Xenopus tropicalis: one gene and its partner. The protein of the gene in region 2 interacts with the protein of the main gene of each other region in a pairwise test. Links are inferred from orthologs where the notes say so. Each region holds a gene or a part of one and is shown on either strand. Other genes may lie near its edges.

Region 1 (16,062 bases), on a different chromosome or scaffold from region 2:
ACACATGCTGCAATAATATCCTTGCTGGCTGCTCCCGGGGGTGATGACATGTAACTTACTCCTTAGCGAATCTAAAATAAACCCTGTGAGTAAGAGGAACGCCATTGGGCGCGGCAGGAACAGGAGCCGCCACTGAGCCTCACGTTTATGGGAAATGAATGGGCCGAGTACAGGCAGTCCCTTCTGTAACTGGATCTACTGCCCGCCCTATACTCTTATTATTATTATTATTATTATTATTATTAATAACCGCCTAGTCTGGGGCCCCTCAAACCAGGGCTCAGTGGGAAAGGGGCAGCCCCCAAAGTTATTGACCCCCGGGATAAAATTGGTCTTCACATTTTATTATTTGCGGTTTTTGAATTTTTTAGCTTTTTGCACAGCGGCACTCCAGGTTGGAAATTTCAGCAGCTGTGTGGTTGCCAGGGCTCAATTTAACCTAGCAACCAGGCAGTGGTTTGAATGAGAGACAGGAATATGAACAGGGGAGGGGCTGAATAGAAAGATAAGGAATAAAAAGTAACAATAACAATAAAACTGGAGCCTCACAGAGCAAAAGGGTTTGGCTGCCGGGGTCAGCGACCCCCATTTGAAGATACAGAAGAAGACGGCAAATAATTCAAAAACCATAAAAAATAAATTATGAAGACCAATTGAAAAGTTGCTTAGAATGGGCTATTCTATAACATAGTAACACTTTAAAGACTTCCCTCGGACACCGGAAAGAGCCACGTGACCCATTTTTTGCGCGGCCGTGCCATTATGCCCATATTGCGTGCCCATATAGCCCCGCCTCTGCCTTAGTCATTGCCACGGAAAGTAGGTCAGGGCGTGACTCTCACGAGCTCGCTGGTTGGCATTGTTTCCCTTCCCAGAGATCCCTGCTTCTGCCCCAGCTAGATTAACCCTTTCCCTGATCGGCATCAGCCATGTCTGTACTGTTCCACCTATCTGCCGGCCTGGCCAGGCTCACTTTCTGGCAGCTTAGTGTATGGGAAACTCTATGGCGGAGAGTGGGGGCAACTGCGTCCTGCTCGGGGCAAGTCACGTGATGTCAGGGAGCGATATGACTTTAAGTGAGTCTGCCCGGACTGCTAGATAGGGCTTGTTAGGCTAGAAATGCAATAGGCGTGACTCATTGAGTGCGGGAGAGCGAAGAGCTGACGCTTATATGTCATTATTAAAGAGGCTGGGCCCCCTTAGCCCATAACAAGGTTACAGATATATAGAAACATTGGGGTAACAGTCACCCCGCTATAGTTCCAGGGGTACCCAGGGCACAAATAAGCACTCACCCCAAATCCCCCCCTAACTGGCCTTCAGGCTGGGCCCCCTTAGCCCATAACAAGGTTACAGATATATAGAAACATTGGGGTAACAGTCACCCCGCTATAGTTCCAGGGGTACCCAGGGCACAAGCACTCACCCCAAATCCCCCCCTAACTGGCCTTCAGGCTGGGCCCCCTTAGCCCATAACAAGGTTACAGATATATAGAAAACATTGGGGTAACAGTCACCCCGCTATAGTTCCAGGGGTACCCAGGGCACAAATAAGCACTCACCCCAAATCCCCCCCTAACTGGCCTTCAGGCTGGGCCCCCTTAGCCCATAACAAGGTTACAGATATATAGAAACATTGGGGTAACAGTCACCCCGCTATAGTTTCCAGGGGTACCCAGGGCACAAGCACTCACCCCAAATCCCCCCCTAACTGGCCTTCAGGCTGGGCCCCCTTAGCCCATAACAAGGTTACAGATATATAGAAACATTGGGGTAACAGTTACCCTGCTATAGTTCCAGGGGTACCCAGGGCACAAATAAGCACTCACCCCAAATCCCCCCCTAACTGGCCTTCAGGCTGGGCCCCCTTAGCCCATAACAAGGTTACAGATATATAGAAACATTGGGGTAACAGTCACCCCGCTATAGTTCCAGGGGTACCCAGGGCACAAATAAGCACTCACCCCAAATCCCCCCTAACTGGCCTTCAGGCTGGGCCCCCTTAGCCCATAACAAGGTTACAGATATATAGAAACATTGGGGTAACAGTCACCCCGCTATAGTTCCAGGGGTACCCAGGGCACAAATAAGCACTCACCCCAAATCCCCCCCTAACTGGCCTTCAGGCTGGGCCCCCCTTAGCCCATAACAAGGTTACAGATATATAGAAACATTGGGGGTAACAGTCACCCCACTATAGTTCCAGGGGTACCCAGGGCACAAATAAGTACTCACCCCAAATCCCCCCTAACTGGCCTTCAGGCTGGGCCCCCTTAGCCATAACAAGGTTACAGATATATAGAAACATTGGGGTAACAGTCACCCCGCTATAGTTCCAGGGGTACCCAGGGCACAAATAAGTACTCACCCCAAATCCCCCCCTAACTGGCCTTCAGGCTGGGCCCCCTTAGCCCATAACAAGGTTACAGATATATAGAAACATTGGGGTAACAGTCACCCCGCTATAGTTCCAGGGGTACCCAGGGCACAAATAAGCACTCACCCCAAATCCCCCCCTAACTGGCCTTCAGGCTGGGCCCCCTTAGCCCATAACAGGGTTACAGATATATAGAAACATTGGGGTAACAGTCACCCCGCTATAGTTCCAGGGGTACCCAGGGCACAAATAAGCACTCACCCCAAATCCCCCCTAACTGGCCTTCAGGCTGGGCCCCCTTAGCCCATAACAAGGTTACAGATATATAGAAACATTGGGGTAACAGTCACCCCGCTATAGTTCCAGGGGTACCGCAGGGCACAAATAAGCACTCCCCCAAATCCCCCCCTAACTGGCCTTCAGGCTGGGCCCCCTTAGCCCATAACAAGGTTACAGATATATAGAAACATTGGGGTAACAGTCACCCCGCTATAGTTCCAGGGGTACCCAGGGCACAAATAAGCACTCACCCCAAATCCCCCCTAACTGGCCTTCAGGCTGGGCCCCCTTAGCCATAACAAGGTTGGGGCTCCGTAGCCAGGGCACTGGGCCAGCCCCACAGTTTGGCACTGTATAAGGGTTCTGGATCCAAATCCTTCGGGGATCAGGCTGAATCCGGAACCAAATCCTGTTTGTTACATCCCTAATTGTTATTACGTTATAGATAGAATCTGTGTAGATAGAATGCCTGGCTTTGTCCTAGGCAAACCCCCTTGCCAGCCTATGTAGATAGTACACCCACGTGACCTGTTTCTAGGGCCAGAGACCCTAGCAACCAGCGAGCAGTGTCCACGGAGGGAGCCGCTCAGAGACCTAAATATAAATAGGGAAGGCCTGGGGGCTCCTGAGCGAGTTGTATTTAAATCCAAGGCCCCGTGTTCCCTTTGTTGTGACCGATCCGCCAGATAAATTGATTTCTGACTTTAAACAGCTCAGCGGGAGTCGCAGTGACAATTTTATCTCTGCGCGCCCCCCCTTAATCCTGCTCCAGTTACTTTATATGGAGGGGTTTAGCCGGGCCGACTGTCTGCCGGGGTATTTATAAGTATTTAGGTTAGTGGGCCGGTTCCCTTCTGTGCGCGGCTTAATCTGCAGCAGCAGCAGGGAGGAATCCTGAGCGTCTCTGCCTGGGGGTTAAGACTTGCCTCCCTGCATCATGCGCAGGTCACAGGGGGACACAGCTTGCACAACATAGTGATTTGGGCCTGAATTTGGCACCTTGGCCCATCACCCCCCCCCCCCCGAGGGGCCTGGCGATACCACTGGGGGGGGGGGGGGCAGACTGGGGGAGGGGTGCTGTGGCCTCTGCAGCTCTCTCAGGAGGTAATTGGTGGGGGGGGGGGCAAATAGGCTGATTTTACCACTGCAGGGTATATACAGTACATTTTGCCCCCCTACAGAACTAGCCCAGATTGCTGCTGAGAATCAATAGAGAGATATGGGGGTGGGGGGTCGTGTAAGCAGGAGGCCCAGGCAAAGCTGATTAGCGCTGATCCCTCCCCTGACCTCCATGCTTTGGGCAGCCCCCCAGCTTAATCACTGCATTAACCCTTTGTGGTATAGTTACTGTATTTCCTGGTACCCGTGTGACTGTCTCTGCTTCCTTTGCATGGGGGAGTGTATTTCCTGGTACCCGTGTGACTGTCTCTGCTTCCTGTGCACGGGGGAGTGTATTTCCTGGTACCCGTGTGACTGTCTCTGCTTCCTTTGCATGGGGGAGTGTATTTCCTGGTACCCGTGTGACTGTCTCTGCTTCCTTTGCACGGGGGAGTGTATTTCCTGGTACCCGTGTGACTGTCTCTGCTTCCTTTGCATGGGGGAGTGTATTTCCTGGTACCCGTGTGACTGTCTCTGCTTCCTTTGCACGGGGGAGTGTATTTCCCGGTACCCGTGTGACTGTCTCTGCTTCCTTTGCACGGGGGAGTGTATTTCCTGGTACCCGTGTGACTGTCTCTGCTTCCTTTGCATGGGGGAGTGTATTTCCTGGTACCCGTGTGACTGTCTCTGCTTCCTGTGCACGGGGGAGTGTATTTCCCGGTACCCATGTGACTGTCTCTGCTTCCTGTGCACGGGGGAGTGTATTTCCCGGTACCCATGTGTCTGTGCTTCCCCTGGGGGGGGGGGCTTATATACATTACAGCACTGCTGGCTGAGAGGCCTATGCTAGGTGTAACAGGCTGTAGGACCATGTGACTGGGGCTCAGCGCCACAGTGAGTCATAGGCGGCTGCGTTGGGATAAACAAGGAAGTAGATGATTTGCCCCCGGGGCAGTTACACAGGATGAATGAGAAATACCTGAGTTAATGAAAAGTCTGTTTGTGCCAAACACGGATCCTGGCGCCTCTCCCTGCCGCGCGGGAAACACCGGCTCCCTTGTTGCTCTACTGGCTCGCTTGCATGTTGGCTCCGCCCCTTTATTAACCCCGTCCTGCGGGTTTGGGCAGAAGAACTGAGGGTAAAACCAGAAACAGGCAAAATCAAGAAAAATCAATTTTATTGTTGCAAATGACAAATGTAGAGGTTAAGTTCCCCTTGAATAGTTGGGATGGGGGGGGGGGGGGGTTGCTGACCCCCATTAGCCAGGTTGGTATTGCCCTGCCTGACCAGTGCTTGTTGCCCCCACAGATACCCTAATGATGGAGCCCAAGGAGTGCCTGGCCGTCTCTTCCATCCTGGGCCCCAAACCCGCGCCGACCCTCGTCACCTCCAGCTCCTTGGGGCCCAGCGCCTTGGAGTTTCCCAGGAAGCGGAAAGCCAGCGATTCCGACAACCAGTAAGTCACCCCAAGCCTTTCCAGTTTGTTAGCCCCGCCCCCCACTACTGGGGGTACTGTAATCATGGGAGAGTGACATACACAGGCTATGCAATGAGTGGGCAGGGCTTAGGCAGATTGTGGGTGGGATTTGGAATAATTAGGGAGTTGACCTTGGGTGGAGTTTGGCATAAATAGGGAGGGGCCATGGTGGGTCAGGTGTGTGGCCATGTATGGGAGGGGCATTTTGTGGGTGGAGTTTGGCATAAATAGGGAGTGGCCATGGTGGGTCAGGTGTGTGGCCATGTATGGGAGGGGCATTTTGTGGGTGGGGTTAGGCATAATTAGGGAGTTGACCTTGGGTTGAGTTTGGCATAAATAGGGAGGGGCCAAGGTGGGTCAGGTGTGTGGCCATGTATGGGAGTGGCATTTTGTGGGTGGAGTTTGGCATAAATAGGGAGTGGCCAGGGTGGGTCAGGTGTGTGTGGCCAAGTATGGGAGTGGCATTTTGTGGGTGGAGTTTGGCATAAATAGGGAGGGGCCAGGGTGGGTCAGGTGTGTGGCCATGTATGGGAGGGGCATTTTGTGGGTGGGATTTGGCATAATTAGGGAGTTGACCTTGGGTGGACTTTGGCATAAATAGGGAGGGGCCAAGGTGGGTCAGGTGAGTGGCCATATATGGGAGGGGCATTTTGTGGGTGGGATTTGGCATAATTAGGGATTGGACCTTGGGAGGAGTTTGGCTTAAATAGGGAGGGGTCAGGGTGGGTCAGGTGTGTGGCCATGTATGGGAGGGGCACTTTATTTTTCATTGGGGCCCCATTTTACCACCCAGGGGCCCCAGGTAACAGTGCACTAATAATGGGAATCCCCTGAGGGGAGGGCCGTGATTACTGGGGGTAGCCCTGGGACCTACTAACCCATTGGTCACCTGGGCCGAGGGCCAAAGTAGATGAGAATAACGGGGCCCCAATGAGGAAAAAATGTCCCCCCTGCATTTGGTCACCCGTATTTACATTTTATTTTCCTGCTCACAGAGTCACTGAAGGATCAGACGTGAATGACACTCAGGGAAGGTAAGTTGGACAGGCCAGCGGGTACCAATAGGGTGCTCTGTGTGCCCCCCCTGGCATTCCCAGTACCCAGAGGCACAAACAGCCCCCCCCAGCCCAATAAATAGTGACTGTCTGTGGCACCTTACAGCCCCCCTGGCATTCCCAGTACCCAGAGGCACAAACAGCCCCCCCCCAGCCCAATAAATAGTGACTGTCTGTGGCACCTTACAGCCCCCCCGGCATTCCCAGTACCCAGAGGCACAAACAGCCCCCCCCAGCCCAATAAATAGTGACTGTCTGTGGCACCTTACAGCCCCCCCCTGGCATTCCCAGTACCCAGAGGCACAAACAGCCCCCCCCCCCAGCCCAATAAATAGTGACTGTCTGTGGCACCTTACAGCCCCCCCGGCATTCCCAGTACCCAGAGGCACAAACAGCCCCCCCAGCCCAATAAACAGTGACTGTCTGTGGCACCTTACAGCCCCCCCCGGCATTCCCAGTACCCAGAGGCACAAACAGCCCCCCCAGCCCAATAAATAGTGACTGTCTGTGGCACCTTACAGCCCCCTGGCATTCCCAGTACCCAGAGGCACAAACAGCCCCCCCCAGCCCAATAAATAGTGACTGTCTGTGGCACCTTACAGCCCCCCCGGCATTCCCAGTACCCAGAGGCACAAACAGCCCCCCCCAGCCCAATAAATAGTGACTGTCTGTGGCACCTTACAGCCCCCCTGGCATTCCCAGTACCCAGAGGCACAAACAGCCCCCCAGCCCAATAAATAGTGACTGTCCTGTGGCACCTTACAGCCCCCCTGGCATTCCCAGTACCCAGAGGCACAAACAGCCCCCCCAGCCCAATAAATAGTGACTGTCTGTGGCACCTTACAGCCCCTGGCATTCCCAGTACCCGAGGCCACAAACAGCCCCCCCAGCCCAATAAATAGTGACTGTCTGTGGCACCTTACAGCCCCCTGGCATTCCCAGTACCCAGAGGCACAAACAGCCCCCCCCAGCCCAATAAATAGTGACTGTCTGTGGCCACCTTACAGCCCCCTGGGCATTCCCAGTACCCAGAGGCACAAACAGCCCCCCCAGCCCAATAAATAGTGACTGTCTGTGGCACCTTACAGCCCCCTGGCATTCCAGTACCCAGAGGCACAAACAGCCCCCCCCAGCCAATTAAATAGTGACTGTCTGTGGCACCTTACAGCCCCCCCTGGCATTCCCAGTACCCAGAGACACAAACAGCCCCCCCCAGCCCAATAAATAGTGACTGTCAGTGGCACCTTACAGCCCCGCCGGCATTCCCAGTACCCAGAGGCACAAACAGCCCCCCCAGCCCAATAAATAGTGACTGTCTGTGGCACCTTACAGCCCCCCCGGCATTCCCAGTACCCAGAGGCACAACCAGCCCCCCAGCCCAATAAATAGACTGTCTGTGGCACCTTACAGCCCCCCCGGCATTCCCAGTACCCAGAGGCACAAACAGCCCCCCAGCCCAATAAATAGTGACTGTCTGTGGCACCTTACAGCCCCCCCGGCATTCCAGTACCCAGAGGCACAAACAGCCCCCCAGCCCAATAAATAGTGACTGTCTGTGGCACCTTACAGCCCCCTGGCATTCCAGTACCCAGAGGCACAACAGCCCCCCAGCCCAATAAATAGTGACTGTCTGTGGCACCTTACAGCCCCCCTGGCATTCCCAGTACCCAGAGGCACAAACAGCCCCCCCCAGCCCAATAAATAGTGACTGTCTGTGGCACCTTACAGCCCCCTGGCATTCCCAGTACCCAGAGGCACAAACAGCCCCCCCAGCCAATAAATAGTGACTGTCTGTGGCACCATACAGCCCCCTGGCATTCCCAGTACCCAGAGGCACAAACAGCCCCCCAGCCCAATAAATAGTGACTGTCTGTGGCACCTTACAGCCCCCTGCATTCCAGTACCCCCAGAGGCACAAACAGCCCCCCCAGCCCAATAAATAGTGACTGTCTGTGGCACTTACAGCCCCCCCCGGCATTCCCAGTACCCAGAGGCACAAACAGCCCCCCCCAGCCCAATAAATAGTGACTGGTCTGTGGCACCTTTACAGCCCCCTGGCATTCCCAGTACCCAGAGGCACAAACAGCCCCCCCCAGCCCAATAAATAGGACTGTCTGTGGCACCTTACAGCCCCCCTGGCATTCCCAGTACCCCAGAGACACAAACCGCCCCCCCAGCCCAATAAATAGTGACTGTCAGTGGCACCTTACAGCCCCCCCGGCATTCCCAGTACCCAGAGGCACAAACAGCCCCCCCAGCCCAATAAATAGTGACTGGTCTGTGGCACCTTACAGCCCCCCCGGCATTCCCAGTACCCAGAGGCACAAACAGCCCCCCCAGCCCAATAAATAGTGACTGTCTGTGGCACCTTACAGCCCCCCCGGCATTCCCAGTACCCAGAGGCACAAACAGCCCCCCCAGCCCAATAAATAGTGACTGTCTGTGGCACCTTACAGCCCCCCGGCATTCCAGTACCCAGAGGCAACAAACAGCCCCCCAGCCCAATAAATAGTGACTGTCTGTGGCACCTTACAGCCCCCCCGCATTCCAGTACCCAGAGGCACAAACAGCCCCCCCCAGCCAATAATAGTGACTGTCTGTGCACCTTACAGCCCCCCTGGCATTTCCAGTACCCAGAGGCACAAACAGCCCCCCCAGCCGAATAAATAGTGACTGTCTGTGGCACCTTACAGCCCCCCGGCAATTCCCAGTACCCAGAGGCAACAAAACAGCCCCCCAGCATAAATAGTGACTGTCTGTGGCACTTACAGCCCCCCGGCCTTCCAGTACCAGAGCACAAACAGCCCCCCCCAGCCCAATAATAGTGACTGCTGTGGCACCTTACGCCCCCCTGGCTTTTCCCAGTACCCAGAGGCCAAACAGCCCCCAGCCCAATAAATAGTGACTGTCTGTGGCACTTACAGGCCCCCCCGGCATTCCAGTACCCAGAGGCACAAACAGCCACCCCCCCAGCCCCAATAAATATAAGTGACTGTCTGTGGGCACCTTACAGCCCCCCTGGCATTCCCAGTTACCCCAGAGGCACAAACAGCCCCCCCAGCAATAAATAGTGACTGTCTGGTGGCACCTTACAGCCGCCCCTGGCATCCCAGTACCCAGTAGGCACAAACAGCCCCCCCAGCCCAAAAATAGTGACTGTCTGTGGCACCTTACAGCCCCTGGCTATTCCAGTACCGCGAGGCAGCAAACGCCCCCCCGCCCAACTAAATAGTGACTGTCTGTGCACTTCAGCCCCCCCGGCATTTCCCAGTACCCAGAAGGCACAAACAGCCAGCCCAATAAATAGTGAGGCACCTTACAGCCCCCTGGCATTCCCCAGTACCCAGAGCACAAACAGCCCCCCCCCCAGCCCAGACCCTGTGGCACTTACAGCCCCCCGGCATTCCCAGTACGCAGAGGCACAAACAGCCCCCACAGCCCAATAAATAGTGATGTCTGTGGCACCTTACAGCCCCCCCGGCATTACAGCCCCTGTCCTGTGGCCCAGGCATTCCCAGTACCCAGACACAAAACAGCCCCCCAGCCCAAATAAATAGTGACTGTCTGTGGGCACTTACGGCATTCCCAGTACCCAGAGCACAAACAGCCCCCCAGCCCAATAACATACACTGTCCTGTGGCACCTTACAGCCCCCCCGGCATTCCCAGTACCCAGAGGCAGTGAAGCAGAAATGGACTCCCCCCCCCCACAAACTGTTGCACACAGTAGGAAATGGAGGGGTTACTTGCCCTTGCAGGGAGGCGCACAGAGAGACAGAAAAGAGGCGCAGAGAGAAAATGAACAACTTGATTGAAAACCTGTCGGCCATGATCCCCCAGAGCGGCCCGTTACCCAGCAAACCGGACAAGCTCACCGTGCTGCGCATGGCCGTCCAACACCTCAAGTCGCTAAAAGGTAAGTCCGGCCCAGGGTGTCACCCAGTGCGGTCAGCCCCGCCCCCGAGGATGTCATTTCCTGGCAGAAAGGGAATCTGGACACATTGCTAGATAGGCTTTACTTGTTCCCCGTGTCCCTTCCCTTCCCAGGGTCCAACCCCTCATTCGCCGACGAGAGCCCAAAGCCTTCCTTTCTGAAGCACGAAGAGATGAAACAGTTAATCCTGAGGGTGAGTCTGTGGGGTCCACTCCCCCTCTGTGGGTTCCTCCTGTCCCCATCTTGCCCTTCTGTCTCCATCTTGCCCTTCTGTCTCCATCTTGCCCTACTGTCCCCATCTTGCCCTACTGTCCCCATCTTGCCCTACTGTCTCCATCTTGCCCTACTGTCTCCATCTTGCCCTACTGTCCCCATCTTGCCCTACTGTCTCCATCTTGCCCTACTGTCTCCATCTTGCCCTACTGTCTCCATCTTGCCCTACTGTCTCCATCTTGCCCTACTGTCTCCATCTTGCCCTACTGTCTCCATCTTGCCCTTCTGTCTCCATCTTGCCCTTCTGTCTCCATCTTGCCCTACTGTCTCCATCTTGCCTACCTGTCCCCATCTTTGCCCTACTGTCCCCATCTTGCCCTACTGACCCCATCTTGCCCTACTGTCCCCATCTTGCCCTACTGTCCCCATCTTGCCCTACTGTCCCCATCTTGCCCTATCACTGTCCACTTACCCCACTTGGCCCTTTTCATCATGTTCTACTATCACCCCCCACCCATTGCCCCAGTGTTTTACTTTCATGTCTTGTAGTCTCCACTTGCCCTACTGTCCCTCCATCTTGGGCCCTACTGTCCCCATCTTGCCCCTACTGTCTCCATCTTGCCTACTGTCTCCATCTGCCCTTCTGTCTCATCTTGTCCTACCTGTTCCTCTTGCCCTATGGCTCCATCTTGCCCTTCTGTCTCCATCTTGCCTACCTTGTCCCCATTTGCCCTACTGTCCATCTTCGCTACTGTCCCCATCTTGCCTACTGTCCCATCTTGCCCTATCTGTCGCCCATCTTGCCCTACTGTTCCCCATCTTGCCCTCTGTCCATCTTGCCCTAACTGTCCTCCATCTTGCCCTATCTTGTCTCCATCTTGCCCCTACTGTCTCCATCTTGCCCTACTGTCTCCATCTTTGCCCTACTGTCCCCATTTGCCTACTTCCCCATGCTTGCCCTACTGTCCCCATCTGCCCTAACTGTCTTTGCCCTACTGTTCTCCATCTTGCCCTACTGTCTCCATCTTGCCCTTCTGTCTCCATCTTGTCCAACTGTCTCCATCTGCCTAATACTGTGCCCTTCCCCATCTTGCCCTACTGTCTCCAACTGCCTACTGTCTCCATCTTGCCCTACTGTCCTCCATCTTGCCCTACGTCTCCTCTTGCCCCTACTGTCCTCCATCTTGCCCACTGTCTTCCATCTTCTTGCCCTTGCCCTCTGTCTCCATCTTGCCCCCCCAGTTGCCCAGTGTTACTTTTCATGTCTTGGTAGTCCTCCCATCTTGCCCTACTGTCCCCATCTTGCCCTAACTGTCGCCATCTTGCCTCTGTCCCGATCTTGCCCTACTGTCCCCATCTTGCCCTACTGTCCTCCATCTTGCCCTTCTGTCTCCATCTTGTCCTACTGTCTCCATCTTGCCCTACTGTCTCCATCTTGCCCTACTGTCCCCATCTTGCCCTAGCTGTCCCCATCTTGCCCTACTGTCCCATCTTGCCCTACTGTCTCCATCTTGCCCTACTGTCTCCATCTTGCCCTACTGTCTCCATCTTGCCCTACTGTCTCCATCTTGCCCTACTGTCAACATCTTGCCCTACTGTCCCCCATCTTGGCCCTACTGTCCCCATCTTGCCCTACTGTCCCCATCTTGCCCTACTGTCCCCATCTTGCCCTATCTGTCCCCCATCTTGGCCCTACTGTCCCCATCTTGCCCTACTGTCCCCCCCATCCCCTACCCATCTTGCCCCTACTGTTCTCCATCTTGCCCTAACTGTCTCCATCTTGCCCTACTGTCTCCATCTTGTCCCTACTGTCCCCGTCTATCCCTACTGTCCCCATCTTGCCCTACTGTCCTCCATCTTGCCCTACTGTCTCCATCTTGCCCTACTGTCTCCATCTTGCCCTACTGTCTCCATCTTGCCCTACTGTCCTCCATCTTGCCCTAACTGTCTCCATCTTGCCCTACTGTCCCCATCTTGCCCTACTGTCTCCATCTTGCCCTACTGTCTCCATCTTGCCCTACTGTCTCCATCTTGCCCTACTGTCTCCATCTTGCCCTACTGTCTCCATCTTGCCCTACTGTCTCCATCTGCCCTACTGTCCCCATCTTGCCTAACTGTCCCCCATCTTGCCCTAACTGTCCCCATCTTGCCCTACTGTCCCCATCTTGCCCTACTGTCCCCATCTTGCCCTACTGTCCCCATCTTGCCCTACTGTCCCCATCTTGCCTACTGCCCCCATCTTTGCCCTACTGTCCCCATCTTGCCCTACTGTCCCCATCTTGCCCTACTGTCTCCATCTTGCCCTACTGTCTCCATCTTGCCCTACTGTCCCCATCTTGCCCTAACTGTCCCCATCTTGCCCTACTGTCCCCATCTTGCCCTACTGTCCCATCTTGCCCTACTGTCCCATCTTGCCCTACTGTCCCCATCTTGCCCTACTGTCCCCATCTTGCCCTACTGTCCCCATCTTGCCCTACTGTCTCCATCTTGCCCTACTGTCCCATCTTGCCCTACTGTCCCCATCTTGCCCTACTGTCCCCATCTTGCCCTACTGTCCCCATCTTGCCCTACTGTCCCCATCTTGCCCTGTCCCCTTGCCCTACTGTCCCCATCTTGCCCTATCACTCTCCACTTACCCCACTTGGCCCTTTTCATCATGTTCTACTATCTACCCCCCCCCCATTGCCCCAGTGTTACTTTCATGTCTTGTAGTCTCCATCTTGCCCTGCTACCCCTTCATATCCATGTTTCCCGGGGGGGGGATACCCCCATGCCCCTTCCTGCCCCCCCATCTTACCCTTGTGTCCTTTGCATTTCAGGCTGCAGACGGATTCCTGTTTGTGATTGGCTGCGACCGAGGAGAAATCCTATTTGTGTCGGAGTCTGTGACAAAGACGCTGAAGTACAATCAGGTGGGCCCCCCCCGCCGGCACTTTGTATAGTGGGGAGTGGGCCTTGCAGCCCCGGGGGGGGGGTCACAGTAACCCAGAAATGCATAAAGCCTGCCCTACTTTCCTTCTCTTTCTTGGAAACATTATCTGCCCCCCCCCCATGCCACTCATGTGATAGGTTACTTTAACCCTCTCACTGCCGGGAGAGATTAAGCACCTCTGCATTTTCCCAGAATGCCGCTCTTCTCTTTCCAGGGGGACCTCATGGGGAAAAGCTTGTTTGATTTCCTGCACCCCAAAGATGTTGCCAAAGTGAAAGAGCAGCTTTCCTCCTCCGACATCGCCCCCCGGGAGAAACTGATCGATGCCAAAAGTAAGTATGGCCGAATGGGCCCAATTCCCCCCCCCCCCAGAAACGCACACAGTTAGGGGCTGTATATATATATATATTATGGGTGATAGGGGGTCCAATAGAGTGAATTCAGTTGTCCCATGGTGGGTCAGTGTTTGGTCTGTGGGAGGAGCCTTCATTTAAAGGGGTAGTTGCTTTTGCCCCGCCCCCAAGGAGCCGGTTCTTACTGTAGCAACCCAGACAGCCCCAGACAGTAGGGCAAGATGGGGACAGTAGGGCAAGATGGGGACAGTAGGGCAAGATGGGGACAGTAGGGCAAGATGGGGACAGTAGGGCAAGATGGGGACAGTAGGGCAAGATGGGGACAGTAGGGCAAGATGGGGACAGTAGGGCAAGATGGAGACAGTAGGACAAGATGGGGACAGTGGGGCAAGATGGAGACAGTAGGGAAGATGGGGACAGTAGGGCAAGATGGGGACAGTAGGGCAAGGTGGGGACAGTAGGGCAAGATGGAGACAGTAGGGAAGATGGGGACAGTAGGGCAAGAGGGGGACAGTAGGGCAAGATGGAGACAGTAGGACAAGATGGGGACAGTAGGACAAGATGGAGACAGTGGGGCAAGATGGAGACAGTGGGGCAAGATGGAGACAGTGGGGCAAGATGGAGACAGTGGGGCAAGATGGAGACAGTGGGGCAAGATGGAGACAGTGGGGCAAAATGGCGCCCTATTCAAACCCCCCCCCTTCATAAACGCACAGTTAGGGGCTGTATATATATATATATATATATATATATATATATATATATATATATATATATATATATTATATATATATATATATATATATATATATATATATATATATATATATAATGGGTGATAGGGTGTCTAATAGAGTGAATACAGTTGTCCCATGGTGGGTCAGTGTTTGGTTTGTGGGAGGAGCCTTTATTTAAAGGGGTAGTTGCCACTGCCCCGCCCCCGAGGAGCCGGTTCTTACCGTAGCGACCCGTATGCGTTTCCTCATTAATCCGGACGCCATCTTTTGCATTGACACAGTCTTATTAAACTATTTTGCAAGCTGGTTTGCAAGTTCACACGCACTTTCAGGCGTCGCGGCTGCACTGGGGCTCCCGGAGGTCCTTCTTCTGCCGGATGAAAAGCGGCCGAGCCAATCACAAGGAGGAAAAGGACTTCCTGCGCAACTCAAAGAGAAAGGGTAAGTATTTATATATTTATATGGCGCCGACATGTTCCGCAGCGTCATTGCCCCCCGGGGGTAACGCTTGGCTCTTGCCCGCAGATCACCGGCGATATTGCACCATACATTGCACCGGGTACCTACGGAGCTGCCCCCCCAGCGAGGAGGAGTGTGACACTGACCGGGAGGCCCCCAATTCCAGGTGCCTGGTAGCCATTGGCCGGCTCCACCCGTATATCACCCCCCAGAACAGCTCCGAGGTCAAAGTGAAACCCACAGAATTTGTCACCCGCTATACTATGGATGGCAAGTTTGTGTATGTGGATCAACGGTGAGGCACCATCACATACTGTACTGTCTAAGGGAAACACTATGGCACCTCCTACCCATATGTATAAATACAAATATACAGAGAGGGAATGTTCTGGGCACACAATAAGCTGTACCCCCATACTGTACTGTCTAAGGGAAACACTATGGCACCTCCTACCCATATGTATAATACAAATATACAGAGAGGGAATGTTCTGGGCACAGCAATAAGCTGTACCCCCATACTGTACTGTCTAAGGGAAACACTATGGCACCTCCTACCCATATGTATAAATACAAATATACAGAGAAGGAATGTTCTGGGCACACAATAAGCTGTACCCCCATACTGTACTGTCTAAGGGAAACACTATGGCACCCCCTACCCATATGTATAATACAAATATACAGAGAAGGAATGTTCTGGGCACACAATAGCTGTACCCCCATACTGTACTGTCTAAGGGAAACACTATGGCACCCCCTACCCATATGTATAAATACAAATATACAGAGAAGGAATGCTCTGGGCACACAATAAGCTGTACCCCCATACTGTACTGTCTAAGGGAAACACTATGGCACCCCCTACCCATATGTATACATACAAATATACAGAGAGGGAATGTTCTGGGCACACAATAAGCTGTACCCCCATACTGTACTGTCTAAGGGAAACACTATGGCACCTCCTACCCATATGGATAAATACAAATATACAGAGAGGGAATGTTCTGGGCACACAATAAGCTGTACCCCCATACTGTACTGTCTAAGGGAAACACTATGGCACCCCCTACCCATATGTATAAATACAAATATACAGAGAGGGAATGTTCTGGGCACACAATAAGCTGTACCCCCATACTGTA
Region 2 (16,062 bases):
TTTTTAAGGTGAAACACACACAGCAATTCTGATCTTTCGTGCAACCATTGGTCACACAAAAGATCGTTCTCATCCTCCACAGACGTTCAGCGCTGAATCGTCAGATATGTTGATAAAAACAATATAATCTCTACCTTGACCTGGCGATTCTGCCCTGAATGTAGATTTTGCTTGGGTGCCTTCAATGGTTCCCAATCAAAACCTTTCAACCTGGCCAATGGACTGATATCGATCGCCTCTTCGAGCCGCCATACACGTACCGAATATCATACGAAACTAGGTTTTGCACAATTATATGGCTGTGTGTATGGCCGGGTTTAGTGTCAGTATCACTTTAAGCTGACAAAAACCCTAACTATATGGGGCACAAGTGAAAAAAACCCTTAAATAGTTTTATTCCGTGAAAATCCACTACTGTTAATGTTAAAGACCAGCGCGGTGAGCCAGTACATCCAAGCAAACTTTTTATAGAAAATCAAGGACACTCACATTCCATGGATCCTTTTGTGAATATTGATGGTGTATTCTCTAGTGACCACCTCATTGATGGCAGAGCGGCCCTTTTTCTTCTCACCACCCTTCTTTGCTGGTGCCATTTCTTTGGAAAGAGAAAAACAACAGACGTGTGACAAAGATGAAACCTTTATGTAGGTTCTGCATTCTAAACGCAGGAAAACATGGCAAAATGTTGGAAAGGGCAGAGATTGTACTGGATTTATGGGGATACCGTGGTGAGTTTTATTCAATTCAAGCCTCAGCCACACTTTCCGGCCACTCAGTGACAAGGAAGCCGACACAGTTACAGTACTACCGAGTGGCTACTGCTGCAATACTCATATGAAGAATACATTCGGCTTATGTCATGATTTCTATAGCCGGCAACATACATAGTACAAATCACATTCTTAAAAACTAAATGTCTCTAACAGAGACGTCCACCATCCCCACGTCGCTAGGGTGATGCGATTACTGAAAACCTACCCCCCCCCCCCTCTCAATTGCGATATGAAATAAAGGCCCAGAAATGCCCGCAGTGATTCATTAGTACTGTAATGGTATGGGCTTAGCTGATATATCTGCATTAATGCCATAGATCCTAATGTCGCTAACATCTGGAACGCGGCCTTAATCTCCCGGGTAAGATAATACACAAAACGCATCTTATTTCCTATTTAGCTCCAGATAATGACATTAAGTTGTCGCCCCGAGTCTCACAGACAAGCCCGGGAACAACCGAAGGTATCCGATGGAGACAGAGCGAGGATGGTTACAGATAGAATTAGAGCAGTTACATTCGCCCGTACTCACTCAACCAGGGACTATGTCGGAAAGGAAGTAGAAAAGGATTGTGGGAGTGAAGTAAACTCCAACCCCGTGAATGCGTTTCCGGGTCGACGTAATGACGTCCGCTACGTTCTGAGAATCGTATGCGGAAAAGGGGTTGCTATAGTTACAAGCAGCTTGCTATAGATTTAGCGTCCGTAACTGTGTTTAGCGAGAAAAGCTATAAGGAAACAGAAGCGCAGAAAGCAAGTGCTAGGCACTGTAATGAGGCTTTTCTGCATAACGTACAGTTTATGTATCTTAAGTGTATGCGTTTTATAATGCCACAGTATATCAATGCTGATGTGTCAGGCGATTCATTTATTAATAGTTTGGAACTAGAATTTTGTTTTCCATTATGGGGAGTTTTTAATAAGTCGTCTTCATTATATAACCCATGATAAATATGTCATCTGGTTTTTGGTTTAAGGTAGTGCTGTCCAACTGGAGGGCTGCATGTGGCCCACGACACCCCAGTGTGTGCCCCCCCCCACCTGTCTGGCTGCTTTGATGGCTTCCCTTTGTGTAAACTGCCCCCCCTGCATGGTTTACACCTCAGATTCAGGCTGTAATTCCCCTGTATTGTTTAAACATGTAATCCCCTATAGTGTTCACACATTTTAATCTTTACAAGGTACACACCTTCGGCTCAGACTGTAAGCATACCTCCCAACATTTGAACAATGAAAAGAGGGACAAAAAGATTTGGCGTGTGCAGTGCTGCAATTTTTTGACCACGCCCACTTTTATGGCCACGCAAATTACCACACCCCATCCTTTTTTTTCCAAAAAATACTCCTTTATATAGTTGAAATGGTGAGATCAGATGCAAATTGTGCCATACCCTCATACTGTACTACCTAAGGAAAACAATATAGCAACTCCTACATATAAAACACAAATATAGAGAGAAGGCAGTCAGTTATAAGTGAGTTATAACTGTACCAGTTTTGCACCCCCATACACAGTGCCCCCAGTGGTCCAATAGACAGTACCCCCCATACACAGTGCCCCCCATAGAAATTGCCCCCATAGACAGTACCCCCCATAGAAAGTGCCCCAATAGACAGTACCCCCCCAAAGAAAGTGCCCCCAATTGCCCCCATAGACAGTACCCCCCATACACAGTGCCCCCATAGAAAGTACCCCCCATACACAGTGCCCCCATAGAAAGTACCCCCATACACAACGCCCCCATAGTAAGTGCCCCCAATTGAGACAATACCCCCATACACAGTGCCCCCCCCATACACACTCCTTCAGCTGCTCCTCTCGTTATGTGGCTTCTTATATGGTGGTGACAGGCCCTTTTAAGTGCACATAAGTATTACTCCATTAGCAATAACAAACACATTCACATTTGTTGCCACCCCTCACAATCCACCTCCAACAGCCTTTCCCTGGAAACTGCCACTTAAAGCTAGCAATTGTAGCTGTGCCCCTAGCAAGAAGGCCAGTGTATGTGGTGTAGGAGCCCAAAGCAATCCTGTACTAGATAGGGATTTGGTTGAGGTTAATGGGAACCTATAGTTCATCGTTGGAAGTGCCAGCCAACTGCATGGTAATGTCCGGCCATAAATAAACATCATTTGCATGTGAAGCCCACTCATTAAGTGTTACATACACTTCATTTTGTGTATTGAGGTGTGACAGTGTCAGCCATTATGGTACAGAAGAACAGGAACAGCACCTCTTGTCTTTGTAGATTAAAATGCCTTTATTGCAAAGTTTTCTGGGGCAAGTGTCAGCCATTATGGCATCATAATGACAAGTGCTTTAGAGTGTGCTGATTTCTTGCTGCATGTTGTTGGTTGTTAAAAAGAAGTGGAATATATTTTACAATGCACACTCATGGCATTAACAGAAATGTATAGAGAGCTACATAGCAACAAACTTGCTGGGGTTGAAAAAAGACACATCCATCATGTGCAAGTGTCAGCCATTATGGCATCCCAATGAAAGCTTCGTAGGAGTGTTCTGCTTTCTGTTCTGCTGTGTGTCTTTTTCTTGGTTTAAAAAAAACTGGAAAGTATTTGATATTGAGTGTCTTCGGATCAGTGCCACCTGTTATATCTAGCTTGGTAATTATATACCTATTTAAAGAGTTGTTGCTGTATGAAATTCTAAATTTAGTTTTGTAAAATTATATTAGGGCCACACCACATAAACAACAGGGCTCATGTATATCCACAAGTGCAGTTTTGGTTCCCACAGTCAGTTGAGCGTAAAACCACTTTTTATTAAAGGTACATATGTCAAAATGTGCTCCATGCACTTCCCTATATATTTGCGTTCAGCTCCTTTCAGTCCTTCTTGCCTTCTCTTACAAATTAAGCAATACTGCGCCTATTGATGAAGGGGGATCCTGGTTAGGTTACCTCATCGCCATATGCAGCACTACTGTATTCTTCTCAATTAAATGAACTATCTTGCACATTTTATTGGTCTTGGGTTTTGGAAGAAGCTTAACGATTTAATTGACATATTATGCCATTAAAACACCACAGTGTATGGCTGCAAAGACTGCAGGCAACATCCAATAAAAGCCCTATGCTCACTACACAGTGCAATTGTGTCTGCTTTTCACAAAGTGAGCATGAAAGAAATCAAGGGAATCCACTGAAGCATGAATAATTAGTAAACTAAATGCAGAATAACAATTTACACTGTAGAAGAGGTGCTGGTAAAGGTATTCAATATTAACCCTAAGGCTGGCCTTACTAAACTGCAGGAAAAAACACAACTTGTATTTTATGCTTATCTGTGCCCTCTAAATACAGTATATGAATTAATTTAATTTAAACAGTTACAAATAAGAAAAATATAAATAATATTACGCAACAAATAAGAAATGTAAATTTTTGGTTTTATTTTTTTATAGAAATAAGTCATCATTACAATAACTGTACAATACTGTACTCTGGTTACATATATCATTTTGTTACAGAAATGTCAACAAATCATATAAAAAATAGAATTCAAAAAGTGCACTTGTTACAATGAATCTTTTGGAGAATGTATAACTTGCATCACCCTGCAAATTAACCTGTAGTATATTCATTTGCAAGGAAAAGTTTGAGTTTATAGTTAACATTTAGTATGTTGTTGACATTAAAAGGCAATTTGCATTTGGTTTCTGTTTTGATAATTCTTCAATTATTTGCCTTTTTGTTTAACATCTTTATCTAAGGTTGTTGTAATAAGATATGCAGCTAGATCACTAGATATATCTAGCTTTTTCTCCTACTTTTTGGATTTTTGCAGTTGTATTTGGTTGCAGCACAGAGCAACTAGGAGCTAAAGCTTTTTTCGTAAGTCCTTTATACAAAGTTCTGCAATAATTTTTTATTTTTGATCACTAGATATATATTGTTATTAGAATGTTATTAGAATGCTTTTACCTATTTTGTCCCTGCCCACTTCATCTTCCAGTCCATGGTCATTCTCTCATGTTTGGCCACATCAGTCCCAAGGCTTCACAACGATGATCACTAAGCAGAAGAATGCATTCTGGAAGATGACCTTGCCCTGGCTTCTAGTGTAAATGTTCCCCACAGTGAAGTGTGGACCAGAAAATTAAGCTGTCAAAAATGGCAGCCTGCTAAACTCATTGTGCAGCTCTGAACTTGGCTGTCAGTTTGTCGGGTTGATAAAGTTGGGAAGGGGCAAATGCAATAGAGGGGGCTAGTTGGTAAAAAAAAAAAAATAAGAAGGTTTGATGCCACTTTAATGAACCATCATCAACTTAACATGTAGGTTTAGATGCATGTGAGCTCAGCCTACTATAAAGTATTCTTTTCTTTCATAAACACAAGCAGCCCTTTATTTCACTTGCCTCAAAGAAGGAACTAAAAACCTAAGAGTAAGTTTAAAAAAAATCAGTTTGAATATTTCAATTAGCATGACATTTCTTTTTTCCCTAACTATTCATGAGATATTTATATGTCATAGATATTTCAAAAATACCTTTGTTTTATCAGTAAAATGAATCTTAAGGCTCATTTTGAAAGGCATCCAGCATATTATCTTAGTCTGTGTAATGCGTTGGGTTTCCTATCAATATTCCAATAGTGTAGTGATAAAAAGAATATATACAGGCCTATTGCTCAGGGAAAAAATTGAATCTGAAGATCAAGAAAGGAAATAATAATAACTAATTCACTAGCAAAAATATTGTATGTGAAAAGCAACCCTGGGCACATGGTTTTCAGGGGGCACAGTGGTGTTTAGTGGGGGCAGAGCAGGGGTGGATGAGTAACAGCTTTACTTCTGTCCTTTGATAGAGTTAATCTGCTTCTGTTTATAATGTTTCTGTTTTGCGTCATTATATTCAATGCTTATATATGTTAGGTCATTAACATGGAAAAGAAAATGTTAAGGAGTAGCAACTTACTAGATATACATATGCTTTCTATGATATTTGTAAGGTCTCCTTTCCAAGGTTTCTTATTACATTAAATAAAGATTAAAAAATGAATTGACAAATTGAAAAGTGCTGGAATTTGTCACAAAAGGGTTGTTTGAAAGCAGAATTATGACTTTAAAGATCAGTTTGTATGAGTCAATATAAATCCATAAATTGTAATTACAAGCAACACAAAATTCTTTGTTAGCTTCATGATCTTGGCTGCATATTTATCAACTGCTTTCCCACGTATTCTACTAAACAGCAAGGTCCAAAATGTAAGGCAATCCAGGTTCCGGTAGATATGCGTTGGGCTAGTGCAGTAAAGAATTAACAAAGCAAGCATTCTAAAGTACACCTGATTTCTCAGAAAGGCTTTTAGTCCTTGTTAGTGTTAGTTGTTGCTGTTGGTGAAATCCAATCGTGTCTTGCTGCTGAGCATAGGTGGGCAAGCCCAAAGAATCTGGCTGTTGGTTTTGAAAAGAACTTGGGCTCTAATGGATACAACAAAGAGAATGGAGTAATAAATAAGGATATAGACGGTTTTTATGAAGCAGAGTTAATTTTTTACATAAAGTATTCATTCTTAGGAACTTTCTAGCATTGAGGTTGGAGTCAGGTAAAATGTGTGTGCAATGTGGTACCAAGTCTCTCAGACATAGTGGATCAATAACAGATATGCATTTTTATATTCACTTATGGAGCAGCTGTATTAACTCTTACAGAGACTTCTTAGGGACATGTCAACTGCAAAAATAATTTTTTGCCTAATAAAAGAAAACATAATTCTAAGGACTTTTGGACAAAGTTTTGCATTGTGCTATGTGGACTTCCCAATAGAAATGAGGTAGAGTCTTCCCTACCACGGCAATCCCTCCCTATATTATTTTTTTGGTTTTAGTTCTGGTTGTTTCTTAGTCACTTATTCACAGATCTAATTTACGGAGTGTCTTTAGCTAGTTGTCAATTGGATTTATTCATTTTAAGCACTTCTGGGGACTGGGAGTAGGTCTATAGGATATGTATAACAATTACCGTGAAATTCTGCTAGATATATGAGCATAGGGAATTACAGTACAATATTGCTGGAGTCAGCACTAGAAGATGGATTAATTGTCTGAACAAAGCAGAAGGGCCTAGGGTGTTTTTTATTTTTAGAAATGTGTCTACATAACAGTGTTTTACCTGTACATATTGCTGCTGCTGTTGTAGATGCATAGTCTGTAGATTTTGCTGCTGGGAGGGATGAGTTGTAGAAACAACTGGATGTAAGATTGCTTGCCCCATTATGACAATAGGCGCACTAGTGCCAGAAGTCTGCACCTCTACATTTCTAAGTATTTGTGAATTTTGCAAATACCTATTCAAAAAAAGAAAAGGAAAAAACACTCTCTTTTTGTCCAAATTATATAAGAATCAATGTCACAAGTGCCTAAGAGTTGCAACTGCTGGAATACAATTAAATTAAGAGATTAACAGTTTTACCCAATGTGTGGTTGTGACCCTATCTGATAATGCATCTGAAAAATGCACTGAATGTAGTCAATATCCCAACCCCCCCCTCGCCACAGACACACACTTTTGTATGCAATCCTATATCCTACAGCATGTACCTATAATCTGGGTTCTGTTAGACATTGGTACATAACTAAGTATATTTTGATATAACACTACAACACTTTAATCCTATAATCTGGTCTAGATTATTGCATAAAGTGCATGGTTCAGTTGACAGCCAGGTTGCTGTTGGGCTGATATGTGTGGATTAGATGTATTTTCAGTCTAGTGAGCAAATGCAATTATATTCATTCTCCACAAAAAAAATGTTCTGTTCATTAATGTTTTCAACACTGAGCATATAAAAATTAAATATAACATACTTGTAAGTAATGGTGTGAAGTAGCCAATCTCAGTTTTGAAATTATGTTACTTAGACCATAAAAATCCCAGAGCAAGGCAAGCAAGTCCTGTAGTGTTATATCAAAATAAACCTACATTTGTTTTTAAAGAATAAGGATACAGTGTGGCAGGCGTACTGAAGGAGCAAGATTAAGATTGGTACAGGTATGGGACCTGCTATCCAGAATGCTTGAGACCTGCTTGTGTTTTCCAGATATAGGGGTCTTTCTGTAATTTGGATATCCATACCTTAAGTCTTTTAAAAAATAATTTAAACACTAATTTAACCTAACAGGATTGTTTTGTCTCCAGTATGGAGTATATATACAGTGTTTTATTTTAGCTAAAAATATTTTTGGTTGTTGGCTGTTAAGCAATCTTTGACTAATATCCTGCTGTTTCACTGGTTAAGCTGTTAAGCCTGGTTTGCATTTTGGTGATACAGGTATCGGACCCCTTATCCGGAAACCCGTTATCCAGAAAGCTCCGAATTACGGAAAGCCCGTCTCCCATAGACTCCATTTTAATCAAATAATTCAGAATTTTAGAACTGATTTCCTTTTTCTATGTAAAAATAAAACAATACCTTGTAATTGATCCCAACTAAGATATAAATAATCCTTATTGGATGCAAAACAGTCCTATTGGGTTTAATTAACTTTTTATTAATTTTTTAGTAGACTTAAGGTATGGAGATCCAAATTACAGAAAGACCCCTTATCCGGAATACCCTTGGTCCCGAGCATTCTGGATAATGGGTCCTATACCTGTACCATCAGGTATCAGAGCATACGTAGAGGCCAATGTAAGGAGCATTACAAACTTAGCAACAGGCTTAGTAACATTTGCAACTTAGCAACAGCTTTAGTACATTTGCTTTCAAGCAAGTGATTGGTAAACACTACTTGCTAATTGGTTGCTATATGTAATTAGAACTGGCGCACATGCCATATATTACATTGGCTAACAAAAGTGTCTCCCAATACCACTGTAAAGCTACTACAGGTATAGGACCCATTATCCAGAATGCTCGGGACCAAGGGTATTCCGGATAAGGGGTCTTTCCGTAATTTGGATCTCAATACCTTAAGTCTACTAAAAAATCAATAAAACATTAATTAAACCCAATAGGATTGTTTTGCATCCAATAAGGATTAATTATATCTTAGTTGGAATCAATTACAAGGTTCTGTTTTATTTCTACACATGGGCGTCCACAGAAGGGGGCAAGAGGGGGCACTTGCCCCCCCCTGGAAAAGTAGCAAAAAAAACCTTACTTTCTGCACTGTCTCCTCAAGCCCGTTTTTGCTGTGCTCCGATTGGATCTTTCTTCTTGTGGATTCTCCAATCAGAGCACAGCTTCCTTGACAGACAGTAAAATTGACCAATCAGAGCACAGATGCACACAGGGATCGGGAGATTTTGCAAACTGGAAACAAATGAAGACTGAAAAGAAGAATCTGCAGCTGTAACTTTACCTGAGAACCAACTCTCAACTTTTGCTGCAGATTTCATCCCACAGGCACTATACACAGGTACTATACACAGGCACTATACACAGGTACTATACACAGGTACTATACACAGGCACTATACACAGGTACTATACCCAGGTACTATACACAGGTACTATACACAGGCACTATACACAGGTACTATACCCAGGCACTATACTCAGGTACTATACCCAGGCACTATACCCAGGCACTATACCCAGGTACTATACCCAGGTACTATACCCAGGCACTATACCCAGGCACTATACGCAGGCACTATACCCAGGCACTATACCCAGGCACTATACCCAGGCACTATACGCAGGCACTATACGCAGGCACTATACCCAGGCACTATACGCAGGCACTATACGCAGGCACTATACGCAGGCACTATACCCAGGCACTATACGCAGGTACTATACGCAGGTACTATACGCAGGCACTATACCCAGGCACTATACGCAGGTACTATACACAGGCACTATAAACAGGTACTATACCCAGGTACTATACACAGGCACTATACACAGGTACTATACCCAGGTACTATACCCAGGTACTATACACAGGCACTATACACAGGTACTATACCCAGGTACTATACACAGGCCTCTGTTCTGCCTCTATACAGATTTCAAATGGGGGCCAAAAATATTGCTCTGTGAGGCTACAATTTTATTATTATTATAATTTTGTATTACTTATTTTTCCAAGTAGGCCCCTTAACTATTCATATTCCCATCTCTTGTTTAAACCACTACCTGGTTGCTAGGGTAAATAAGACCCTAGCAACCAGATAGCTGCTGAAATACCAAATGGAGAGCTGCTGAACAAAAAGCTAAATAACTGAAAAACCATTAAAAATAAAAGTGAATTTGAATGCGAACTAGCCCTGATCACAAACACAAATGTTTGCAGATCCCCTCACAGAAATGCGCATATAAATACTTTAACATACTAAACATTTTAGGGTAAAAACAAAAAAGCCCCCCCCGCACTTTTGTACAGTATCCCTGGGAGTCAGTGGGAACGGCAAGAGGTAGTTGGGAGGTTAACTTTTTACGCCAGCAGCGAATCCACTAAGTGTCACATTAGCTGTAGGTCAGTCTGTGTATGGGCCATCTTTAGCCTCCCCTAGTATCATCCTGCAAAAAAAATATATATATTTATATATATATATATATATATATATATTTGTCTGTTGCAGGATGATACTAGCTTACTTGCCCCCCCTTGGAAAATTTTCTGCGGACGCCCATGTTTCTACATAGAAAAAGGAAATCAGTTTTAAAATTCTGAATTATTTGATTAAAATGGAGTCTATGGGAGACGGGCATTCCGTAATTCGGAGCTTTCTGGATAACGGGTTTCCGGATAAGGGGTCCGATACCTGTACTATAAAAAAAATCCCATGAGTCATTTGGGCTTTGTGCGAAAATTAAGAATGTGCCATTGCATTATACTCCTCTAAATATAAAAGAAATTCACTCAGAAAAGTAGTGTATCGGGTTGATTATTGAAAAACCAAAACCTTACTCTCCCCTGCCATCTTCCTGCTGCCTCCTTTCCCAGGCTGTGCAGGAGAGCCCGTGGCACTCAGCACACTGTAGAACAGGAACCAATCAGCAGCTGGACTGACCTGATAGGGAACTGAATCCTGCCTTTGCTTGTGTAACTGCAAGCCTGTGATTGGCAACCCCCTCCTGCTGTGCTTCTGACCAGGGAGCTCCAATTAAGTGGTCTTTTTAAAGATAATATTAATTTTTGCCACAAAGTAAAATCAGCATCTTATGTTATTTATTATCGCCTACAAGACTGGAGAGGTTTTTAGTTATGGTATATGTCTTTATAACATCAATATTCTTTCTGGTATTGCTAACCTCTGCTATCAGAATGGGTTACTAATTTCTTTTATATACAATGATATAGGTATGTTTTATGTTTTACCTTATATTCATCTAAAAGATTTAACGCTTATCAAGCAGGACAAACCACTGTTTACTGCAGATGTAGTACGTACTTTGACTGACATCCAGTATCTAAGGTCTGCCTTTTGTTACATGAGACTGGCATCATTGGCTGGATTGGTTGATTCAGCAACAGCCTATAAAAAACATTTACACTTATTACACTGTAGGGTACACAGAGAGTAGATTTGTTGTAGCTGTTGTTCACACATATAACATTATTAGAAAATTTGCTAATTCCATCATTCATCTATCCTTTACCATCAGTATATACACATAGGGGCTGATTTACTAAGACACGATTTCGAATCCGAATTGGAAAAATTCTGATTGGAAACGAACATTTTGCGACTTTTTCGTATTTTTTGCGATTTTTTTGGCGTCTTTACGATTTTTGCGTAAAAACGCGAGTTTTTCGTAGCGTTAAAACTTAAAAGGCGCGACGTTTCGCGCAAGTTTTAACGCTACGAAAAAATCGCGACTTTGCGCAACTTTCGTAATGGCTACGAAAAACTCGCGTTTTTACGCAAAAATCGTAAAGACGCCGGAAAAATCGCAAAAAATACGAAAAAAAGCGTAGCGTTAACACTTGCGCGCAAAGTCGCGCCTTTTTCGTAGCGTTAAAACTTAAAAGGCGCGACGTTTCGCGCAAGTTTTAACGCTACGAAAAAATCGCGACTTTGCGCAACTTTCGTAATGGCTACGAAAAACTCGCGTTTTTACGCAAAAATCGTAAAGACGCCGAAAAAATCGCAAAAAATACGAAAAAATCGCAAAATTACCGATCATTACGAAAAAAACGCAATCGGACGCATTCGGCCCGTTCGTGGGTTAGTAAATGTGCCCCATAATATTGCCTTATATTTTACAGACAGCAAAAGAAATACAGATACATTTACAGATGCTTCTCCTGTCTTCAGAACAAACAGCATTGCTAAGGACCCTTAAACGTGTCACAATTTTGTTGTGTTGTTGTAGACTAAATAGTAAATGAAATCAGTTGCAAAACAAGTGTGTTATTGTAGGGGCCCATAGGGTTAACTGTCCCCATGGATGTAAATTTCCTACAAATGATATTTCCCTAGTTGCTAGGCAGAAGCCTTTGTATTTATCTATCTTATTTTCATATCTTTGTTATTGGCCAATAGGTTAGTAACCACTTCCTGCCACACACTTTGATACAGTTATTGGAAAGGGGTGGTTTTCCCTCTTTGGCTTCCATGTTCTGACCTAGGTGAATGTATGCTGGGGGGCCTGGGGTCAATAAGGCCCAGTAAAAAGTTCTGCCATAGATGGACAATTTTTCTAGAAAAGGTCAGAAAAGGAGCTTTGTGCTCCACATTAGAACTGATAGCTAGAGGTAGCTCTCCCATAGGTCCTAAAGTGAGGGGATCAAACTGCTGAAAAGATTCAGGCTTTAGTGTATCACTTCCTGAACAATTCCAGTTGACAGGATCCAGACCACTAGCTGGTAACCTAAAGGTGTATCTTAAACCTATAGTACCATGCATATCCACAGTGGTGTCATATTATTCAGCTCTGCCTTGTGAAAACTTTTCACAATAAGCCTGTTCATTTGGAAGAACCTCGTCCTGTTTGCTTTGATACTGCACCAGAGATCCTCTCATGTCCTTCTTCACTTAGCAAAGGCCTATCTGCAGTCCAGTGTGACCCATGTTCTATTGTCACTAGCTGATAAATTAAATTTTGGGTCAAGGTAGGGTACATTATACATACATTATTTTGTCTTATTGCACACCCTCAGTTTTTGGCAAAATAATTTGTTATTTAGAGATAATAATAGATAAATAGAATATATCAGGGGCATTTTTAAAAAGGGAAGGGTTGTTTAAAAGAGAACTAAATCCTCCCCACAAACCAAAGCCCCATCCACTGCCCTCCATTGTCCCCCCTTGATGCACCCTCCCCAGAGACAATTACGTTAGTTAAAAAGCGTCCCTATTTGTAAACCTGGCAAACAGATGCAGAGTTCACAGGCACCATGTATGTACACTGTAGACAGTAATAAGAAGCTGACCTTAGCTGCCTGTCATGGCTGAAGTCTGGTGCAGTAGAACGCTGAATGCTTTCCTGCTGTGAATCAGAAGATGGTACTACGTCCAGACTTTGTGTCACTTTGGAGGAGGGATCATTGAGCTGAGAGGTAGCATTTCTGGTAGATGGCTGGGCGCTGTCTGATATTTCATGCAGACTTCTTATTGATTTCTGTCCCTAGAACAAATACTCTGTACTGTTAATCCATAGCAGGCGCTTGCACACTATGATACATTGTCCAATTAGTTTACAACCTCACATTAAGCCTGTGGGAAATCTAAAGCTCTGTAGTATTAGCATGCCATCCCCAACACTGTACAGAGTTGGTATACATTACACAATGTAATATTTTGTACACTTCACTTTTGCTGCTGTAAGACAATAATAGTTAGCCTTCAAGATATTGTTAGGTTGCAGAAATCCCTATTACTGTTCATTGAGAAAGCCTTCTGTATATCCAGAGCAAGGTCCCACTAGTAATGTTATGAGCTGAAACTGCTGATGCAGCTTGAACACATTTTTTCTTGCATAAAGAAATTGCCTGTCTGCTTGTCAGCAGAATATTCTGCTTGTCAATACAAATATTTTGCCATTCTTTATACAAAAATAAGTGATTTACAGTTTTTAATAGACTTAAGGTATGGAAATCCAAATTACAGAAAGATTCCTTATGTAGAAAATACCAGGTTCCAAGAATTCTGTATAACAGGTTTTGTTCCTGTATTTGTAAATGGAATTGCTGGATTCTGCTACACTGTTTCAATAGAAAGAAAGGGAACTGCAGAGGGAAACAAGCAAATGCTCTCAACAGCAGTTACATTTACGTATCACTTTTGAAGCCAAAATGCTTAGAATTATATAAGGAAATCATGAGTGATTCCCTTTAAGAAATACATATAATTGATAATTGTATACTATTATGAACAGAATAGTTTGGATTTGCAACTTTTGTGCTGTTAACCCTTTTAGTGCCAGTGGCCACAACATAGACTCTACAGTGCTGGAACTATAGTTTAATTGCATTTTCCATATAGTCATATTTAAGCAAATCCTATTTTTTAAGGCTAATGTCCCATGGGGAGATTTAGTCGCTGTGATTTTTAAAAAACGAGTTGATTCGAATAGTTTTGGTTATGAATGACAATGCTTTCTCTATGTAGAGAAAAAACGAGCGACTTGTCTCTGGAACTCGCTTTTTAAAAATCGCAGCTACTAAATCTCCCTGTGGGACATTATCCTAACTGATTTCCCCTTCCTCTGTAGTAATACAGAGGAATGAGTAAATAAGCTCATAAATCCATGTTGGGGGTAAAACAATCCTATTTGTTTTATTTGATGTTTAAATGTTTTTTTAGTAGCCATTAAGAATGGTGGTCCAAGTTGCAGGTAATAGATCCTATACCTGCACTGCATCATTTGCAGAAAGAGTGGTGGAAGCTGGTTTTGAGCTTCAACTGCAGGTATTCCTGTACTATAGAAAATATATACTATACATATATATATATATATATTTATATATCTGCCTTTTTGGTGTTAGTAAGAAATAAAATTGTCAAAGTTCTTAAAATAAATTATGCTTTACCTTACTTGACAGTACAGTGGAATCCCTGAGCACTTGCTGAGATGAAACCACATGCTGGCCTGGAATCAGTTTAGAGATAATCTGCCCTTGAGTTGGAAGGCTCAGCATAATGTGCTGTGGTTGCTGAGGTATGGTGCTGGATCTCTGTTGGACTGGATGCTGCTGTGTCTCTGTTTGGTGTAGGTTGCTGAAGTTTAGAGCAGGTGTTTGGGGATGACAAAATATCTAAAGGAAGATGAGTATATTTTAGTCTGTCCTGCATAACACTAAAGACAAAGGTATAGAAGAGCAGGAGGGAGGGGGTGAAAGAATCAACCACAAAGCAGATGGTTTGGCAAGAATTATGAAAGAGCGCTAAGGAACGGTAAAACATTCCCCTTAGTGCTTAGTTATGTCTGACTTGCAGCATGGGCAGTTTTCTGTTCTGCACCTTGTGCAGGATTAAAAATGATGCAGAGCACAATGGCTGCGGATGCAGAACAGGCCTGTCCTTGTGGCCTCCAATAGGCTTTAAATACAGGACCTTGTTGCAGACTTTACCCACAGCTGTACTCTTACTTGCATGTTAGGCTAGTGCCACATGTGGGCATTCTTAGCCTGCAGAAAAACATACGTAAAGAAGCTTTTAAGGAGCTTAGGGGCCTTCTGATTATTTGCAAGAATCACCCATTTATGGCACTAGCCTTAGGGCATGGTTTTCCAAATGAAGGCCTGATGTGACCCTTCAAGGGATTTTTATGGCACTTAGTCTGTTCCATATATTTCACTATATGACATCATTATTTTAATTGAACCTGGCCCTCTAACATGCTTTATGAGATAAAACTGGTCCACTACTTGTAAATAAGCAATGCCTTACACCATCCGCTACGCTTACACCTGTTGCATGTCATTTAGCATGTAAGGCAAGGTGCAAAGTGCAAAAATAGTGGCATGCACCCATTTTTGCCCATTTTGTAGTCAATGCATTTAAGACAAATAAAAGTTCTTGTGTATCCATTGCTTTCCAAGTTACATGGTATGGGTTCTGTTATCTGGAAACCCATTATCCAGAAAGCTCCAAATGATGGGAAGGCCATCTCCTTTTTTTCTGTAATAATAAAACAGCACTGCGTACTTGATCCAAACTAAGATATAATAAATCCTTATTGGAGGCAAAACAATCCTATTGGGTTTATTTTATGTTTAAATAATTTTTTAGCAGATATTTAAAATTTTAAGTAGAAGGTAAAAAGATCCAAAGTATGGAAATACCCTTTATCCCAGCTCCTGTTCATTCTGGATAACAAGTCCCATACCTGTACTACCAATATAATTTAATAAATACATTTT

Evidence for each region.
Region 1: the proteins of npas2 (region 2) and arntl2 interact in binary tests that used the Homo sapiens proteins (3 or more experiments, as listed by UniProt). The link is inferred for Xenopus tropicalis from reciprocal best matches to the Homo sapiens genes NPAS2 and BMAL2.

Annotation. Positions count from the first base shown.
Region 1 is NC_030679.2:2,979,248-2,995,309, reverse strand, and holds part of arntl2 (aryl hydrocarbon receptor nuclear translocator-like protein 2), read left to right. Parts: intron 1-5,063; coding exon 5,064-5,211; intron 5,212-6,227; coding exon 6,228-6,266; intron 6,267-10,044; coding exon 10,045-10,202; intron 10,203-10,333; coding exon 10,334-10,413; intron 10,414-13,252; coding exon 13,253-13,345; intron 13,346-13,579; coding exon 13,580-13,697; intron 13,698-14,758; coding exon 14,759-14,896; intron 14,897-14,980; coding exon 14,981-15,209; intron 15,210-16,062. UniProt on the Homo sapiens protein: Transcriptional activator which forms a core component of the circadian clock.
Region 2 is NC_030678.2:110,289,715-110,305,776, reverse strand, and holds the end of npas2 (neuronal PAS domain-containing protein 2), read right to left. Parts: intron 14,956-16,062; coding exon 14,731-14,955; intron 13,326-14,730; coding exon 13,132-13,325; intron 11,231-13,131; coding exon 11,147-11,230; intron 7,089-11,146; coding exon 6,914-7,088; intron 6,223-6,913; coding exon 6,076-6,222; 3' UTR 4,173-6,075; downstream 1-4,172. Other genes in the region: rpl31 (60S ribosomal protein L31), read right to left, coding at 490-596. UniProt on the Homo sapiens protein: Transcriptional activator which forms a core component of the circadian clock.